Linked DNA regions of Callithrix jacchus. The protein of the gene in region 1 binds, or shares a complex with, the protein of each later gene. Links are inferred from orthologs where the notes say so. Each region holds a gene or a part of one and is shown in the gene's direction. Other genes may lie near its edges.

Region 1 (6,135 bases):
CTATCAAACTTTATGGAAGGGCATTTTTAAATTTTCACAATATTTAATTGATGAATAAAGATCAAATATATTCAAGGTGTATAACATGATGACTTGATGTACATATACATTATATAATGATTATTACAATTGAGTTAACACATCCATCACCACCCTTGCAGCACATAATATACCCAGAACTTGTTCATCTTATGACTGAAAGTTTGTACCCTTTGACCAACATCTCCTCATTTACCTCACCCCTATCCCCTGGCAACCTCCATTCTACTTTCTGCTTCTCTTCTGGGTATATATTTAAAAAAAAATGAGATCAGTATCTTGAAGAGATACATGTACTTCCATGTTCATTGCAGCGTTATTTGCAATAGTCAAGATTAGAAACAACCTAAGTGTCTCTCAATGGATAAAAGAATAAAGAAAATGTGTTGCACATATGTAACAGAGTGCTATTTAGCCATTAGAAAAGGAAATTCTGCCATTTGCAACAGAATGGATGAACCCAGAGGGCATTATACTCAGTAAAATAAAATAGACACAGAGAGACAAATACTGTTTGATCTCACTTATATGTGAAGGTCGTTTAACAAAAAATCTTGAATGTCTTTGGTGATATATCCTGTTTCTAGATGAAAAGACTAAGTGTTCAAATATGGCAAGTGTTTCAAAATCTAGAAATTTAATTCAGTTCTTACAAAAGTCCTGTATTTGAATGGAGTATAACATTCATGCACATAGTATTTATTGTCTGTCTACTGTGTATTGGTTACTATAGCATAGACAGTAAAATAGATCAAGAGGACAAAAAAGAATATCCAAAAAATTATATTGAGTATATCTTTGTACACAATTGGGTAGAGAATTGATATGTGGTACAGATGGCATTTCAGATCAGTGTGTAAGGGAAAGGATGGATTGTTTTTTCAAGAAATGTGTTGAAATAATTGGCTGTTTGGAAAAATAGTCAGACCTTTACCAACTATCATGGGAACACTAATTCTAGGTGGAATAAAGATCTAACCATAAACTAGAATACTATAAAAAGTATGAGAAGAAAAAGAGGAATACCTGTTTAATTTTGAGATAAGAAAGGCTTTCTTAAGCAAGATATAATATACAAGCCATCAAAGAAAAAGTTGACATATTTGACTACATCAAAATTAATACATTTCGGTAGATTACAAAATACCATACACAAAGTTAATGGATACGTGAAAAACTGGGAAAACTATTTGTAACATATATGACAAAGTATGAATATCCTTCATGTATTAAGAACTCCTATAAATCAATGAGCAAAAGATGAATGTGCCTTCTGGGAAAATGAAGAAAAAAACACCAACTAGCAATCTATATAGTAAGAAACATAAATGGCCTAATATATATATAAGATACTTGATTTTATTAGCAATCAAATAAATGCAGATTTGGAAAACCATTTAGATACTGGTTTTTAGCCTTTCAATTTGACAAAGATTTAGAAGACTTATAATATCACTGCTAGTAAACAGGGTAGGAAAACAGACTTATACTCTTGGTGGGAATGTAAATTGCTGCAGTATATTGCTCACTTTCTGGAGAGCAACATGGTAATACTGTCAAAAATTAGTGTGTATACTCTTCAGTGCAGAAATTTCAACTCTAGGAATGTATCCTGAGGAAATACCATAAAGGTTATGGTCCCAGTTGTATGTATAATGATGCTAATTTCATCATTGCTTATACTTGCCATCCCCCTACCCCCAAAAAGAAAACAGCCCCTATGCTCACCAACAGGGGATCTGTTAAATCATTGTGCCTCAATAGGGAATTTGTTTCACAAATTGTGGCACATCCATTATAGAATACTAAACCAAGCAGCAATTTTAAAAATTAGATCTATGAGTATATAAAGTAATGTAGAATCATACCTGGGAAATATTGTCAAGCTTTTAAAAAATCATATCTCAGAATAATATGTTTACTGTGATCTCATTTGTATTTAAAAAGGAAAACAAACTAAATACATATGTAATTTATTTTGAAAATTTAATTGAAAACATAATTGAGATTATATTATATAATCTATTCTGTACCTTTTTCAAATTAGTGGTTCATCATGAACTTCCACTCATGCCAGTACATATAGATCTACGTCATCTTTTTTGAAAGATCTATAAATGTTAACATTGCATTTGTTTTAAAATTTGTTTGTATATATTTAATGTATATATGAGTAAAAATTCAGGAAGAATATAGGTATAACTGTTAACAAAGGTTGTATTTGGGGAAGAGGAGGAATTTCTTTATACTACTGTATTACTTTTCAAGTATAGGTATATACTTAGTAAAAACAATAAAAATATTTCTATTTGAGGATGGAAACCTAATTTTTAAAACAAATATGTTTGTAGAAATTGTAATCCTGGAAAGCCCCTCAAAACATCTTTGAAACTTGAAAAATCAATGGCTGTTGAAATTACTTTAACCATAATGAACAAAAGGATTGGAGAAGAATAGGAAAAAAGAAGAAATCAGAAGTAGATTTTCAAAGAGAAAGATAGATGAATGAAAATAACAGTAACTTTAGGAATTCAGTGAGCATCCCAGCCTCTGCTTGAGTATGTTTATTGATCATTGTTTATTTTACCTTTCTACCAAAAAGAATAATATTCTTTGGAAGAATTAGCTGATGCTTTTTATTTCTTTATGAATGGAGAAAGCACCATAAAATTTTAAGCAAAAGCATTAACTTTGTAGCATGTTAAAAATCTAATTTTCTCAGTCAGCAGTTTATTCCCAAAACTCCTGTTTATTACAGTTTTCACTTATATCACCATGTTATATACCTTAAATAGATACAGTTTTTTATATGTCAACCTAATCTCAATAAAGCTGAAAAAAATTTTAAAAATAATGTAGACATAGTTTTAGATTTATGTTACATTTTAGATTTATATGTTGCATTTTGCATATGTATAAACATTTGCAGTGTATACATATCTTATAGCCCTTTGCATGACACAACAGTTTTTTCACATAGGATTTTAGAAATGGTGCTTTGTGTTATATGATTTAGAGATTTATATCTTTATTGATTCCTACCTGAGTGTTCATATAAAATACCTGACAAATCTAAAATGCATTTTTTATTTTAACTTTTAAAAATATATGTTATTTGACTTCCTTTTTGTTTTAATTAGGTAACAGGGAAAAAGATATATGCTACAAGCCAGCAAACTTTTGAAACAGTTAAATCACTGTGGACAAAAAGCAACAAAAAAGAGTCACTTCCTCAGCCTAAGGAAAAAACTAAGGTAAAGTTTAAATGGAACAAGACGGTCCATATTGATTTTTGTTTGGGTGGGTGTTGGCTTGTAATGAGGGTACTGGACAGAGGTCGAGGATAAAATAAGAAAGTACATGAAGGAATTTGGTATAATTTTTAAAGAAATTTTATTCTCTTAGTAAAATGATGTACTTATCAAGGAAAAATCTTTTTGGTAAACAGCTAGGATCCTCTGCCGAAATAGAAGCATTTGCAAAAACAACTCATGTCTTGAAACACTCAGTGCCTTTGCCAGCAGAACTCAGCTCTGAAGCGAAGACCAAATCAGTATCCACCTCAGGTTTGTTGGGAATAATTCAGTTTTATTTTCATTCTTTTCTTAAATAATTTGATAGCATTATCATTAGTGGTTTGAACTTACAGATGTGTTTTCTCAGTAAATATTTGGTCTTTCTTGTATCTGTGGTTTGCATTTCTTTTTAGGTTATGAGGTACTTAGGTGCCTGGGATTGTTTTAAATTACCACATAGTTCATAATATAGATCTTTGTATGTGAGGATATAGAGTAGCACTGACAGGTTGATTGGGTGAAACATTTCATATAACGTTATAAGTATGAGCTATTTTATCAGGTCGGGGAAAATGAGCCTTTCTAGATTCTATAATTTTAAAGGTATGAGTCACACCTACATAAAGAAATGTAAGCTTCCATTTTTTGTGCTATTTACCTGTCAATCTTAAGACTTGTAATGTTCCTAGTATTCCATACTGGCAATAAGTACTCTGTGGAACCAAACAGTGACAATTATGCTTTCTAAGAAAACACTACTATGATTTTACTGTGATCAAAAAGAAGGTGACAGTGTTTGATACCATTTTGACAATGTATTCATATTGATTTGCATAGTTGTATCTGTATGTACAATGTGAATGGTAAAACCCATGAAGTTGTCTTACTGCAGAGGAAAGGTGACTAACTCAGAGGTTGGGGAATAATAATAGTATCCACCATTTATCAAGCACATACTGTAATGCAGAGAGCTAGAAATGTGTTATTCAGCCCTTACCCACAAAGTAAAACAAAAACCTCTGCTGGATCAGTAATTACTCCCATTTTATGATGAAGAGACTGAGACTCTGGGAGCTAAAATAAGTTGCCCTGATTCATAGAGCTTGTGAGTGGCAGAGTTGTGTTTCTGGCCTAGATCTTCTTGACATCAAAGCACAAGCTCTTTCCATTGTGTATAGATTATCTAATTTAAAACTGGAATTTAGTCTCTAATTTCAGTCTCCTCCTCTCTCACTTAATCTTTATACAAAATCTCATTGAATAACAAACCTGATTTGAGTTTTATTATTTTCCTCTGTCCTCTCTCCTTCCTAATCAAGACAAGTTATACAGTTTTTAGAGTCTCTGAATAATCTACAGGTGACCATATTCTCACAAGAATATAATATATGGTCATTTTCCCAAATGCTAGTTAATTACAGAGTATCTTTGTGAAGATGAAGCATACTACAGCTTAAAAGTGGGACCAAAACCTTCCCGAGCTAATGTCTTCTTCACACATCTGGATGATGGAACTCTTTATTGCCTGTCTTGGGTGATGTGGTATATGAAAAGCATTCTAAGGAGATAATGCAGAGGGAGAAAGAGATGCCAGTGCTATTCATTCTTATCATATATGCCTTGGTCAGTTTGAGCTACCGTAAAAAATACCATAGACTGGGTGACTTGTAAACAACAGAGAGGTGATTAGAATTAGTTGAGGTGATGAGGGTGGAGCCTTCATGACTGGGATTAGTAGTGCTCTTATGAATCTTGAGAGAGCTTACTTTCCTCTACTCTCTGCCATGTGAGAATACATTGAGAACTAGACTGTCTACAAGCCAGAAGAGGACCTTCACCAGAACCTGACCATGTTGACACCCTGATCTCAGAATTTCAGTCCTTAGAACCATGAGAAATAAATTTCTGTTGGATCCAACATTTGTACTAGTTCTGTTACCTGGGGCAAGTTATCAAACACCTCGAGCCTCAGTCTCCTCATCCAACAAAAAGGGAACAATAATAGTTCTTGCAAGGTTTTAAAGATTAAATGAGATATTGCATGTAAAGCACTAACTACAATGGCAGAGATATACTAAGAAGTATCAGTGGATATTAAAATATATCATTATTATCATTTGCCTAGAGTAATTAGTCATTTTGCCGAGAAATAGATTTTCATTGAGCACACTTTAGGAGTAAGTCACTTACCTAGTGTGCCTAGCCATGGCTACCACGTTTCACCATATAGAATAGATCGGGTGTACTGTCCAACTGTATGTTGTGGCTCCGAATATGAGTTGTTTTCTACCATCTCATGCACATTAATGGAGAAAATTATTATTATGGGAATTACAAATTTAGAAATTTGGTGTCATAGATCTCTTCAAGAATCCGATGAAAGCGGAATGAAATCTCTCATACTCTTACAAGATTAATGTCCCTCTAAAGCAGAGGTTGGTAAACTATGGCTGGCCTGCCACCTCTGACTCACTATTTTCATATATTCTGCAAGCTAACAGTGATGGTTGAAAAAATAAAAAATAATATTTTATAACAAGTAAAAATTACATGAAATTCAGATCTCAATGTCTATAAATAACATTTTATTAGAACATACCCACACGCATTCATCTATATATTGTCTATGACTGCATTTACACTACAGTGGCAGAGTCGAGCAGTTGCGACAGAGACCATATGGTCCACAAAGTCAAAAATATTTGCTACTGACCTTTTGCAGAATAGTTTGCCAATTCTCCTTCGAGAAAGAAGGGATGTGCAACGTACGCATGACTCATGTCCCCTTATGGTAGTTGAC
Region 2 (6,127 bases), on another chromosome or scaffold:
GTGCACAAATGTGCTGCTGTGTCAGTGTGCAAGTGAGATTGAGTGTATATGCACCTGGCCGGCAGGGAGTGCGCAAATGTGCTGCTGTGTGTCATTGTGCGAGTGTGTGAGATGGAGTGTTTGTGTGCTTGGCCAGCAGGGAGTGTGCAAATGTGCTGTCTGTATGTGTCAGTATGCGAGTGTGTGAGATTGTGTGTGTGCCTGGCCAGCAGAGTGTGCAAATGTGCTGCTGTGTGTGTCCGTGTGTGAGTGTGTGAGATTGAGTGTGTGTGGAAGGAGACCAACCAATCGGAAATTACGCCCAGGAGGCTGGGCCGCTGACTGACTTTAGTGTCATCTGTATTTGCTCTTTTTTTCCCATAATTTTAGAAAGTGAACTTACTCACTTTTGTGAGTTATAAAACTACTTTGAAAAGGAAAGGAAAAAAATAGTAAATTGCCCCTAAAATATTACTGTGGTTACCTCTAAGAAGTGAGAAGAAGAATATTTTTCATTTCTTTAGACATTTCTATAGATTTCATCTTCCTTCCCTCACACATATTAGTTTTAAATCAGCAAAAAAAATAAGTTACATGGTTACAGCCATGGGTAAACCACAGGCAGAGGAAAGCAGCTGACCTGGGTGCAGCAGGAACGGCTACCCTCGGCGCAGCAAGGCAGGTTGTCCCAGGCATAGCAGGATGGCTGTCCTGGAGAGGAGCTACACCATCCTCATGGGGCCCTCCAGTGGGAGTCAGCTCATGGACTTTCCTGCCTCCTGGAGGTGCTCAGGCCCCAGCAAAGGAGCCCAGTGTGAAGCCCCAGACCCACAGCCCGTTTCAGTGTCTGCTGTGTTGTGAGCCTAAGCCACTGACCACAGGGCTTGACCTGCAGCTGTCCTCTCATTTCTAGAATGGGAAAGCACAGTGCTTCTCTCTGAGGGTTAAAAGGATACTGGTGGGTGTCAGGGGCTTAGCCTAGTGCCTGGCAGGTAGGTGGAGTGAATGTGAATTGTTTCTCTCCCCTGCCCACTGGCACACGAGCCCCAGGACTGCCTGCTTTTGTCTTCTGCAGGCCGCGCAGGGTGGAGCCCGTCTGCTCAGGGCTGCAGGCCCAGATCCTCCAATGCTACCGAGATCGCCTGCATGAGGTGCTGCTGTGCTCAGACCTGGTCAAGGCATACCAGCGGTGTGTGAGTACTGCCCACAAGGTAAGGCCTCACCTCCCTCCCAGGTTTCCAGGGGCTGTGGGAGGTGGAGGAGGTACCTCTATCTAGCATTGGAGATCTCTGCCTGCCTATTCCTGCTAGAGTCAGATGCTCCACCTGGAGGTCTCTGCATATACCAAGGGAGGGATTCTCGGGTCTTTGCTTTCCTCAGTCACCTCCTGGTGCACACCAGCCTGCTTCCAGGAGCGCCTTGCACATCTGCCCGGGGAGATGATCCCTGTGGAGTTTGCCCTGTTAGGCTGGACCTTCTTAGCCCTCAGCATTTAGGAGTGGGAGCATGGTGGAGGCCCAAGTGCAGAGTGGGGGTCTCAGCAAGGATGGGCCATCTGAAAATGGAGTGGGAGCCGGCGCGGCCATCAGGAGCTGCCCGCAGCCACAACCCTGCCACTGGTCTGGAGGAGCATGCTGGCTCGGTCTTCCCTGTATGTGGTCCCAGGTCTCATGTGCTCTCTGGTCACCCCCTACTCCAGTGGGCCTGCAGTACACTCCCAGCCAGCTTCTACTGTCTTCCTCCCCCACCCCCAGCTGCTCCTCTCTATCCTAGATAAATCCTTCCCCTTTCCAGGTCCCACAACGTCAGGCTGTTTCCAGTTACACCTCGCCCTTGCCCCACCCCAACAGGACAGCTCCCACTTTGGGGAGCATCATGCACTCTCAGGGCACCTGGCTTAGGCTCCCTGAGGAGTGCGGCCTGTTTGTGAAAATGTATGGGAAAAGCAATAGGATGAGGTCTTTCTTTCCACAGAAAAGCCTCTTTGGCCTGAGTAAGAAACAGGCTGCTTTAGGTACTTGAGGTGGAAAAGGCTGAGGCCAGACACCCTCTGCTCTCCAGCCATGTCTGAGCGGGTATCTCTCGCACGGAACTGAGCGGGGTCCTGCATCCCTGGGCCTGTGAGAGCTTCCTTGGGCCATGTCCTGCTGACAACCATCTGCGAAGCTGATTGTTCCACCCTGGGCTGGTCACAGCCCCATCCAGCACCACCTGACCCTTCATGGCCAGAGCACAGCCCAGAGGTAGCTCCATATAGGCTGAGTGGACGCCGGGCCTCTGTCAGCCTTCCAAGAGAGGGAAGCCCTGGCTAGGACAGGCAGCCTCCTCCTCTGTCTCAGACCATGGAAGGCTGCTTGCTCTGCTTCCACATGAGCAGGAGGCATTGGGGCACTGGGTAGGCTGGGCCGGACCAGGGCCCTTCACACCGACAAGACACTTAGCTCCCTACCCATTAGCAAGGTGAAACCCCCAGATCCTTCCCCACATCCTATCAAGGGCAGCTTTGAGTCCTGTTCATTACACACCTAACTCTTTACTGAGGGATCTGCCGCAGCCTCTTGGCTTCTTGGCAGGGCCCATCCTTCAGCGGCTAGCCCTAGACTCCATCCTCTCTCCATCCGGCCCCACCTATGTGGTAGTTTTCAGCCCCTACCCAACACCCCCAAGAGTATTTCTTTAACAAACACACCTCACCAATGTATCTTCCTTGCACCAAGGCAAAAATGTGATTACCAAGGAAGACAGATTACATTAAACTCCAGTGTGTTCCCTGAGAGAGGCTCTGGGACACTGCCAGGCCTGGCTCCCTCCTTCCCGGCCCTACCCCTGACCTGACTAGCAAAATCTGGAGACTAAGCAACGGCAGTGCCAGAGGCCTGTCTGGATCCCTTGTGCTGCCTTGGCAGCGTGTGTGCATTTGGGGACAGCATGTTCAACCCGACTCCCTCGGAGCCCCTGCACCCAGGCACTTGGGTGGCACCTGTGTGTGAGATGTGGCGAGTGCTGGAGAAACTTTCACCACCTTTCTCCCGTCTCCACCTCAGAAGGCTTCTGGCAGAGCCAGAGAGCGGGGAGTGAAGGGTCCCTAAGAGGGATTTGCTTCTGGGAGGGGCCCACATGGTCAAGGACCTAGGGTGGGGCAGCACTGCCTCTCTCCCCAGGATCTAGCATCTGCCCTGGGGCTCCTAGGGCAGCTAGGTGATGCCTAGGCCCAGAGCCTGGCGCCTGCCTGTGTGTGGATGTACAGGGTGTCTCAAACAAGGGCAGGGGCTTCGGGCTCTCCATAGCAGGGTCCTGACTGTGCAGGCCCCCGTGTCCCAGCAGACTCCCGCTGAGCTGTGAAAAATCAGAGAACAGAGGGGATGCCTTGGTGAGGGAGAGCAGAGTTTTATACTGTTCTATACTCAAGGTGCTTGTCAGAAACACTGAACGGGGGCAGGGCCTGTCTCCCACTGCTGGGGACTGTGCTCGGCTCTGGGGCACAGAGGTGAAGAGACTCAGTGCTGGGTCTCAAGGCGAGGAGGGAGACTGACTCACAGCTGCTCCCCAGGAAGCGATTGCTGTTCCAGGGCAGTCTGCATGGAGCCCTGAGGGCATGGGCAGAGTGGGCCGTGACTGAACGCTGACCTGTTCTCTTTGTAGGGCTGAGGAGCAGACATCATTCCCTGTCCTGGCAGTGACTTGGAGCCCTGAAGAAGGGACCAATCATGGGACCACAGCCCACAGAGCGCTAGGCCACAACCACCGTGCCCCGCCATGTCCTGCTGGGCCCTGAGCGGGGCTGCCATGTGTTTAGGAAACAAACTATACGCTACAGTCTGAAAACAAATAAAGCAGACGCCTTTGTTTTCCGTTGTTGACTCACTGGCAGCCAATCACTGCTGCCCACTCTGTGTCCAGCCCTCTGCTGGACACCAGTGAAGCAGGGCTGAGGAAGACGGGCTGCTTCCCTCGGGGAGTCCCTGGCCTGGCAAGGGAGATGGCCTGGGAACCCCCAGATACATCGCAGCAGCAGCAGGCTACCACAGAAGCAGGGATGAGAAGGAAGTGGGAGCAGGCCTTTCTAGGGATGGCACAGAGGGAGAGCAGGTCAGCTTCCTGCTGGGCGGGGGCGGGGGGGGGGCAGTGCTGCTTACGCCCAGGGCGGAAGGTGACCAGACGAGGGCAGGGCAGGCCAGAGACCCGGCAGAGTGGACCCCAGGTATGAGAGCAGCAGGCAGTGGAGAAGAGCAAAGGTGAGCAAGGCAGGCAGGCGGCGTGGCTACAGAAGTGGCAGGGCTGGAGTGTGCCAGGCTGAGCTGGCACTGTCTCTGAGTGACATTGCTCTGGCTCTCAGGTGGAGGGTGTCAGTGAGACAGGACTTGGCACTAGGGAGCATCACCAGTGTGAAGGGCCCTGCGCAGCTCAAGCCCAGGGAGGGTTAGCGGGGCTCACTGGAGAACTGAATCTGACTGAGTAAAGAAGATGCAGGTGACTTTGAAGTCTCTGACTTGAGTGTTGAGGGTTCTCCTAAAATAAGGAATGCAGAGATTGAGGAGAGCAGATGACAAAGTGGGTTTGGCATATGCTCTGCTTGTTGGTGTCCAAACACTGGCCTTCCAAACCTTGACCTCTGGCCGTGTCCCACAGCCAAGGTGCCCTGACCACACTCAGCCTGTGCCATGCCAGCAGGAGAATTTTGGGATAGAGCTTGGGATCTTCTAACTGCTCTGCTGGTGACCTTGGGTTTCCTGATAGAGCCCTTGGGGAGTCCCCATGCCATCTGGAGCTAAAAGCCTGTAGTCTCGACTCGGGCTTGGCAGCACAAACTTCCCTGCTCATTCCCAGATTCTTACACTCAGAGCTCAAGGGGTGGGTTGGGGCTTGGGTGTGTCCTATTGGCTTAGCATACCAGCAGCCAGGCAGACAGCTCTAGGAGACGCCCTCTCTAGGAGTCCCAGGTCAGCCTGTGGAAATGCACAGGAGGCTCCATGCAGTGTGATCAGCAGGGAGAGGTGGGATGCACAGGGCACCCTGGCCTGAGCCCTTTGGGGAGGGGCCTACTAAGAGGAGGGGTGAGGGGTCACAGGTCCAGCTTATCCACCATGCTGTTGTCACTCCCTCAGAAGCTTTTGGCTTCCCAGACTTTTTCCAACTTCAGGTCTCACAGGAATAACTTTCAGCTATCCCTCTCTTCTCCAGGCATCAGTTTAGGTGTTAGGGATGCATCTTGGGGTGGGAAACAGGGACTCCCAGGTACACAGACACCTGTGGGCTGGACGCTGCCTGAGCCTGTACCAGCTCGTTCTGTCTGGGTAACAAACCACCCCCAGACCACGTAGCTTAAAACAACACCTGCTTTATGTGGCTCATGATTCTGCTGGGTGGAGCCTGCGGCCCAGGCCCACTCAGGTCAGCCAACAGACCTGTGACCCTAAATGGCCTCCCATGTCCAGTGGCCAATGGGGCCATGGTTTCCTCTAAATGGCCCCTCCTCCTCCAGGCAAGATGGGGCTCCAGTTTTGGGCTCCACTCTCAGGCTCCCACACAGCCAGAGAGCCAGCCTCCAGGAGCAAACACTTCCTGATCCTCTGCCCGCAGCCCCGGGTCCCTTAATTCTCTGGTAGCCAGTCAGGTCAGATTGCAGTTGGCCTGAGAGGAGTGAAAAGATCTCTTTGGCCTCTGAGCTCCACAAAGCCACCTCCTGCTTTGGGAATAGGGCCAGAACGAGGTTGGCGGTAGCAGTGGCAGGTAGCAGCAACAGCCCTCTCCTCCTGGGCAGGGCCTATGCATAGGCGTCCAGGGACAGAGGCTGGCAGAGCAGCCTCATCAGATGGCACTGTTGCCCACCCGTCACTGCATAGTTGACTCAGACCAGGAGCTGACAGGGGTTTGAAGGCCAAAGGTGTGGGAGGTGTGGGGCAGGGGCCAGTAAGGCTCTGCAGGAGCTCGTGCAGAATCCAGGGCCCTTTCTGGAGGTCTCCCACTGCCTCTGGTCCCTGGCTGCCTGGGCCTGCCTACCCCTCTCCCACCTCCCCATAGTATCCTTGGCCCTGCCTAGGCTTCCCACACCCCCAAATCCACACATCTGTCCCTGCATCTTGCTGGATTTTCATAAACTTCCACTTGGTCCTGAAAATAAGACTCACACCTGACCCCTGGCCTGTCT

Evidence for each region.
Region 2: APOOL (region 1) and CHCHD6 share a complex: the UniProt entries of both Homo sapiens proteins name them as parts of the mitochondrial contact site and cristae organizing system (MICOS) complex. The link is inferred for Callithrix jacchus from reciprocal best matches to the Homo sapiens genes APOOL and CHCHD6.

Annotation. Positions count from the first base shown.
Region 1 is NC_133524.1:82,583,455-82,589,589, forward strand, and holds part of APOOL (MICOS complex subunit MIC27), read left to right. Parts: intron 1-3,179; coding exon 3,180-3,293; intron 3,294-3,487; coding exon 3,488-3,605; intron 3,606-6,135. UniProt on the Homo sapiens protein: Component of the MICOS complex, a large protein complex of the mitochondrial inner membrane that plays crucial roles in the maintenance of crista junctions, inner membrane architecture, and formation of contact sites to the outer membrane.
Region 2 is NC_133516.1:76,404,436-76,410,562, reverse strand, and holds the end of CHCHD6 (MICOS complex subunit MIC25), read left to right. Parts: intron 1-1,054; coding exon 1,055-1,190; intron 1,191-3,621; coding exon 3,622-3,627; 3' UTR 3,628-3,830; downstream 3,831-6,127. UniProt on the Homo sapiens protein: Component of the MICOS complex, a large protein complex of the mitochondrial inner membrane that plays crucial roles in the maintenance of crista junctions, inner membrane architecture, and formation of contact sites to the outer membrane.